Nothobranchius furzeri: one gene and its partner. The protein of the gene in region 2 purifies or fractionates together with the protein of the main gene of each other region. This does not show direct contact. Links are inferred from orthologs where the notes say so. Each region holds a gene or a part of one and is shown on either strand. Other genes may lie near its edges.

Region 1 (3,331 bases), on a different chromosome or scaffold from region 2:
CCCATTTTTATTCAGCTGTTGAATTCTGAGTATGAAGACGTCCAGGAGCAGGTGAGTTTTCCCAAGTCTAACAACAAAAACTGACGAGTTTGCACTGTAGGATGTTTCCAATCTTGATGATGTTGCACAACAGAGATGTGCAACGATTTGTGCAAAGATCTTCATGAACATGTTTTGTATCAACTTTAAAACTATTAAAATGTTACAAAGAGTCACAATGTATTCTTTAAACAGTGGTTGATCATCCCTGTTGAGGGAATCCTGTAGAGGATCACAGTGCTGGGAGACAGTTATCAACCACCATCGCAGGGTTTGTCTCGTTAATCTTGCAAACAAATGTCCCAACATCACTAGTCTGTTAAAAAAATGCTGTTCTGGTAAACTCGTTTCTAAAGTCTATAACCAGATGTTCTCCATGTCTTTGATGGTCTCCCTGAGCCGCCTCCAGCTCCTGATGTGGTTCTTTGCTCCGACCATAAGAGAGCCAGAACGTTCAGTGGTGAAATCAAAGATCTCGTTGTGGTTTAGTTGTTGAACTAGTTTGGTGAAGAATAGAACCAAACCAAACTCCTTCACACAAACACTCACACCAACGCTGCAGGAGATGTTCGGATCAGCAGCTTCTTTATTTTAGAGCATTTAGTTTTAATTGTTACTAAACGTGTGTGTGTGTGTGTGTGTGTGTGTGTGTGTGTGTGTGTGTGTGTGTGTGTGTGTGTGTGTGTGTGTGTGTGTGTGTGTGTGTGTGTGTGCACGCGCCAGGCTGTGTGGGCTTTAGGGAACATAGCAGGGGATAATGCTGAGTGCAGAGACTACGTGCTCAGCTGTGGCATCCTCCCGTCTCTACAGCAGTAAGTCTCCTCTCCTCTTCTCGAGTTTCTCTGGTCTTCAGAAATGGGAAGTTTTTTTTTCTTCCAGGCTTCTTGTTAAATCGAACCGACTCACAACCACCCGTAATGCGGTGTGGGCTCTCTCTAACCTGTGCAGAGGGAAGAACCCTCCACCAGATTTTGCCAAGGTGAGCCTGTTCCGGTGACATGACCTTTGTGTTTCTCCATCCAGCTGCAATTCTAAATTGTGTGTTTGTGTTGTTATTGTGTCAGGTGTGTCCTTGTCTCAGCGTTCTGTCCAGACTGCTGTTCAGCAGTGATCCAGATGTGCTGGCTGATGCGTGCTGGGCCCTCTCTTATCTCTCTGATGGGCCCAATGAAAAGATCCAGGCGGTGATTGACTCTGGAGTCTGCCGCAGGCTGGTAGAGCTGCTGATGTGAGACGCTCCTGTTTTATCGTTCGGGTCAAGGTCATTAAGATATGCAATCAGCTGATAGAAACTGTGTGAGGGTCCAGATGAAAGGGGGCATAACAGAGACCACTGGGTGGTTGTGATGTGGGTGTGGCTGCAGCAGGCTAAGGGGTCTGGAGCTTCACTGGGACAGGTGTTACACATAAGACGAGGAGAAAAGGACCCAGAATACAAAAGTATAAACACTTCAGTAAAACCAACATTTCTGCCCTCTGAAGCAGCATCTCTCTGGACGTCTTGTACTGATCCACACACCTGTTGGAGACTTTATCACTATATCTATAAAAACAATGAGTCAGTAAATCTTTCACAGAAATCCATCTTGAGCAGGATTGGGATTGAGCCAGCTGACTGATAGCATTTCTATAACTATAAGTTTCATATGAGCTAATAAATAGATATGTGCTGGCTTTTGTGAGTAACTGGTTCAAGCTGGAACACCAGGATTATTGAAACCTGGGATACAGTGCTGCTGTAGCTGCATGCCAGAACCACAGAGTGGTGCTGATGGGGTTGTTCTACAACAGCCAGCCTGACTGTAGCGTTCATCCCTCTGCTTCCTGTAGGCATGGCGACTACAAAGTGGTTTCTCCGGCTTTACGAGCTGTAGGCAACATCGTAACGGGAGATGACATCCAGACTCAGGTAAAGGCTGCTTCTCACAACGTTCTGTTTGTAAAGAGATTCTCTTCTTATTGGTGTGGGTGTCACAATCTGACGTTAAACCCAGATTAGCTAGGAAATCGCTGTCTCTCTCTGCTGTGAAAACGAAAACCAACGTGTGTTCAGGCACGCGTTAATGTTTGAAATTTTATTAAAAGTTGATGTGGGAGTCATTGTTGAGTTCTAGAACTTTTGTAGGTCATACACAGCACTGATGAAAATGGACTTGGGCAGGCGCTGTGGAGCGACACGCAGCCTTGGTCTGAGCTCCCTCGTGTCAACTCAGGAAAACTATGCTGGGTAACCTACAAATGTCTGATTCAAGCTGAGCTAAGATCAGTAAAGGAAGACATTACATCCAGATCGAGAGACGTGGATTGGCTTAGCTAAAGGAGGACAAATAGAAAATAGGTGCAGAGATGGGAGAGCAGAAGGAGAAGGTGGACACGGCTCTAATGTGAGTAGAGGAGCTCTGATGCTGACTGTGTGCTGCAGGATTTACTGAAGGAACCTAAGGATTTGTTGAAGCTGGGTGACCTGGAGGCCAGATCCAGGTGTAAAGGAAGGAAGACGCTGAATCACAGGACAACAAGGTGGCAAAGTTGATGGAGGAGTGGCTCTGTGAGGAGTTTAAGATAAACTAGGATCTGCTGATTCAGCACTCTAGCACTGAAGACAGGTCAGCTGCTTTGTTGAATCAGTCATTAACTTCCAACAATACACCATAAAAAAAGCTTGGGAGAAGAAAACGGTGATGTTTGGAACCGACAGAATTTACATTTCGATCTAAGTTCCTACCCTCACCTATAGTCGCGAGCTTTGGGCAGTGAGATGTAGATGAGATTGTGGATACAAGCGGCCGGAATTATTTTTTTCTGCAGGGTGGTTGGCTCTCCCTCAGAGATGGGGTGAGAAACTCAGTTATCCGGAGTAGACCCACTGGTCCTCCACATCGAGAGGAGCCAGTTGAGGTGGCTCGGGCATGTGGTTAGGATGCCTCCTGGACCCTGGTGAGGTTTTCTGGGCACGTCCCGAGAGAAGACCTAAAGGAAGACCCAGGACATGCTCTCGGCTGGCCAAGGAACGCCTAGGGAGAGGAAGTCTGGCCTCTCTCCTTAGACTGCTTCCCCGGCGACTCAACCCCAGATAAGCAGATGAAAATGGATAAATGGCAAAGACACTAAAGGAGCAAAATGCTTATACACATGTCCAGAAAATACTGAAGAAGAGAAGATTCTGTTTCAAACTCCCCTTCACGGGCTGATGGTGCACTGGGAAACAGAACTAGGACCCACAGCACCATGCAGGAGGCAGTCAGTGGCTTGAGGAAGCAGGCATAAAAGGTATAGGACATCCAGGGAGACG
Region 2 (3,818 bases):
CAGCAGGGATTTCAAACAGATGCACAAATTAATGATGGCGACCACAAACCAACGACTTTTCCAGATGAAAATATCGTTCTCTGTTTCAGAGGAACTTGTGAATAAAATGCTGCTTGTTTCCTGTCAGGTTGAGCTGACTGACATCCAGAAGAAGTACTATCGGGCCATTCTGGAGAGGAACTTTAGTTTCCTGAGTTTAGGAGCCAACAGTAACAGTAACGTCCCCAACCTGCTCAACACCATGATGGAGCTCCGCAAGTGCTGCAACCACCCCTACCTCATCAACGGTAAGGCTGAGGGGCGCCACAAACGATTGTTTTCTTATTGCACCAGGATGCAGCTGCTCTAATTCAGCCATCATTAGTTTCTAGTTTCAAGTGTGATCCGTTATGTGCAAGCTTATCAAGCTTATAAAACAACAGGGCTCTCATGTCCGTCACCAACATGTTTAAAATCGCCCGGTCAGAACCTTTGCTTGTCGACGTGTGCATGTTGGCTAGGTAACAAACTCGTCGAGCGCTTTTTTAATGCTGTAAGGTAGCGAGATACAATCAATCGTTGGCGTTTGTAACGTAAGAGCAAATAGGTGACATACGTGTGCTAAAGGTCACGAAATTGCCATCATTACTGTTGTTGCTACAGCTATGAACACAAGTAGCTCCCTGTTGATGTTAGCAGCTAATGAGAAGTAATTAGCTTACAGAGGCGACTGTCCGTCTTTGTTCTCCGCCATGACGAGCTTCCTTTGAAGGTATTCGTGCATGAACATGCTCCCGTGACAAGATTTAAATGTACGTGCTTCTCTTTTGTCTTTGTAAAGTGCTCCAAACTTTTGAGCTACGTTGCCGGCTTGCCAAGTCTTGTTTTTTCCAGTGACGCGACGGCTCAGCCGGGCGGCCACATGTGCCTCGAACAAAAAGGCAGAAAGCAGCAGTGGTGCTGCAGCGGGCAAAATTTATAAAACGCTTCATAGAATAAATGACGTTGACTTCAATTTATTACCGACTGTTTTGTTTGTTGACGTCATCATGACGTAACAACTAATCGTGGCAGCACTAGTACGGCCTAACATCTTTTAAAAAATCAGCTACCCAATTAATTACTGTTTCCTTTTTCCTTGTTCAGGCGCAGAGGAGAAGATCGTGGCGGAGCTGCGGCAGGTGTATGACCCCCTGGCCCCTGACTTTCATTTGCAAGCCCTGATTCGGTCAGCTGGGAAACTGGTGCTTCTCGATAAGCTGCTGCCCCGTCTGAAGGCTGGAGGCCACAAAGTGCTCATCTTCTCCCAGATGGTGCGCTGCTTGGACATCCTCGAGGACTACCTCATCAACAAGAGGTATAAACATCTACACACATCGTATTTTATCTCTTGATGGTGCAAAGTAACTTTGACATTATTGAAAGTTTGGGGAAACTTTGAAGAAACCTTCATGGGTTTTGTATTTCTCCAGGTACCTTTATGAACGAATTGATGGTAGAGTGCGTGGGAACCTGCGACAGGCAGCCATCGATCGCTTCAGCAAGCCAGACTCTGATCGTTTTGTCTTCCTCCTGTGTACTCGTGCTGGTGGTCTGGGCATCAACCTGACTGCTGCTGACACTTGTGTCATATTTGACTCTGACTGGAACCCTCAGAATGATCTGCAGGTATTGTGATGTACTAACGACGGGTTTTAAAGCTTTCTGTTCTGCCTCCACACCTTTTTCCCTTCTTTTTTTTTTCAGGCCCAAGCGAGGTGTCATCGTATTGGACAGTCAAAAGCGGTCAAAGTCTACCGTCTCATCACCCGGAACTCCTACGAGAGGGAGATGCTGGACAAAGCGAGTCTGAAGCTCGGATTGGACCGGGCTGTCCTTCAAAGCATGAGCGGCAACAAAGACAGCAGCGTCAACGGGGTAACGACTCGCTAGGCTGGTTGCTCACGTCACGTCTCATTGGATCTCTTGTCTAAACAATTTAATGTCATGTTTAACAGCTCCAACAGTTTTCCAAGAAGGAGATTGAAGATCTGTTGAGGAAAGGAGCCTATGCCGCCATCATGGATGAGAATGACGAAGGCAGCCGGTTCTGTGAGGAAGATATTGACCAGATCCTTCAGCGACGAGCCACCACCATCACTATTGAGAGTGAAGGAAAGGGCTCTACTTTCTCCAAAGCCAGCTTTGTGGCCTCTGAGAACCGCAATGACATCGCCCTCGATGATCCTGAATTCTGGGAGAAGTGGGCCAAGAAAGCAGATATAGACATGGATTCTATCAATCAGAAGGTGACGCTTTGGTGTTTGATTTTAATGGAGAGATTTATGGCTCACACAGATGGATATCCTCCTAAATCAGTTTGTTCCCTCCCCCTGCAGAACACACTGGTGATCGACACCCCCAGGATTCGCAAGCAGACCCGTCAGTTCTCCACTTTACGTGGCGAAGGTGGAGACCTGTCAGATCTAGAGAGTGATGACGAATATCCACCTGCTAATTCTAGACATTCGCGTGCTTCTCGCCGCTCTGATCGCCACAGCGGAGGAGGATACGGACGCACCGACTGTTTCCGGGTGGAGAAACACCTGCTGGTCTATGGGTGCGAACATGGTGTTTCCCTTTTATTTCGATGTTAAGCGGTCTTGTTGACGTTGCCTTGCGGGTTTGATCTGCTGTAGGTGGGGTCGCTGGAGGGACATCTTGTCTCATGCCAGATGTAAGAGGCGTCTGAGTGAGCGTGACGTGGAAACCATCTGCCGTGTCATCCTGGTCTTTTGTCTGCTGCACTATCGTGGTGATGAGAACATCAAGAGTTTCATCTGGGAGCTCATCACTCCTCCAGAGAATGGCCGAGAGCCTCAAACACTACTAAACCACTCTGGTATGAGGCTGTCATTTTCTCTTTTCAGTAGTTAAATCAGAAGACTAAATGAACTGTTGACATGTTTTTGTGTTTTTTTTTTTTTATTCAGGCCTTTCCATCCCCGTTCCAAGAGGCAGGAAGGGAAAGAGGGTGAAGGCTCAGAGTACGTTTGATGTGCAGAAGGTTGAGTGGATCCGCAAGTACAACCCTGACACTCTGCTGCTTGATGACAGCTACAGAAAACACTTGAAGCACCAGTGCAACAAGTGAGTGAGGCCAGTCAGACGCTGGTTCATGTCAACGACTTTGATTTAAGCTGAGATGTTTCCTCCGTTGTCAGAGTGTTGCTGAGGGTCCGGATGCTCTACTACCTCAAACAGGAGGTTATTGGTGAACATGCAGATGCTGTCTTGAAAGGAGCTGAGATCAGGTATTTGATGCTTCTTGTTTTATTTAAAGGTTCAGATTCGGTTACTGAGACGCCGTTTGTCTTTAGGGACGTGGACATCTGGATGCCAGAGATGGAGCAGCAGGAGGTGCCTGCTGTGTGGTGGGACGCTGATGCAGACCGCTCACTTCTTGCTGGTGTTTTCAAACATGGTAGAGTTACTTATTAAAAAAAATGAAGGCTGACTTTTTTTGGTTCCTGTTGGACTGGACCGTTTCCTGATGCTGGGACTTGATATTTGTTTTAAAGACGTTGGCGTTTAACTGATCTGATTTTGCAATTGGTTACCAGGTTATGAGATGTACACCACCATGCGAGCCGATCCCTGCCTCTGCTTCATAGAAAGAGTCGGTCGGCCTGACGACAAAGCCATTGATGCTGAGCAGCAAACCGGTGACGCGGAGCTCGGGGATGAGTAAGTTACCGCTGCTTTGTTCTGCCTTTCATAAATTCTACTTTTGTGATTAGAAAGTGGTTCTAACTGCTGATATTCAAACGGGACCCCTCACATTTTCATAGCAGCATCAT

What was found.
Region 1: the proteins of chd8 (region 2) and kpna5 purify together in Homo sapiens (affinity purification with mass spectrometry; 3 studies listed by BioGRID and IntAct, with this or other methods). This does not show direct contact. The link is inferred for Nothobranchius furzeri from reciprocal best matches to the Homo sapiens genes CHD8 and KPNA5.

Annotation. Positions count from the first base shown.
Region 1 is NC_091745.1:58,613,514-58,616,844, forward strand, and holds part of kpna5 (importin subunit alpha-6), read left to right. Parts: coding exon 1-51; intron 52-762; coding exon 763-851; intron 852-918; coding exon 919-1,018; intron 1,019-1,103; coding exon 1,104-1,267; intron 1,268-1,869; coding exon 1,870-1,948; intron 1,949-3,331. UniProt on the Homo sapiens protein: Functions in nuclear protein import as an adapter protein for nuclear receptor KPNB1. Binds specifically and directly to substrates containing either a simple or bipartite NLS motif.
Region 2 is NC_091751.1:63,449,159-63,452,976, forward strand, and holds part of chd8 (chromodomain-helicase-DNA-binding protein 8), read left to right. Parts: intron 1-127; coding exon 128-287; intron 288-1,125; coding exon 1,126-1,336; intron 1,337-1,451; coding exon 1,452-1,647; intron 1,648-1,725; coding exon 1,726-1,896; intron 1,897-1,976; coding exon 1,977-2,267; intron 2,268-2,357; coding exon 2,358-2,578; intron 2,579-2,657; coding exon 2,658-2,860; intron 2,861-2,951; coding exon 2,952-3,108; intron 3,109-3,182; coding exon 3,183-3,272; intron 3,273-3,338; coding exon 3,339-3,442; intron 3,443-3,581; coding exon 3,582-3,705; intron 3,706-3,818. UniProt on the Homo sapiens protein: ATP-dependent chromatin-remodeling factor, it slides nucleosomes along DNA; nucleosome sliding requires ATP. Acts as a transcription repressor by remodeling chromatin structure and recruiting histone H1 to target genes.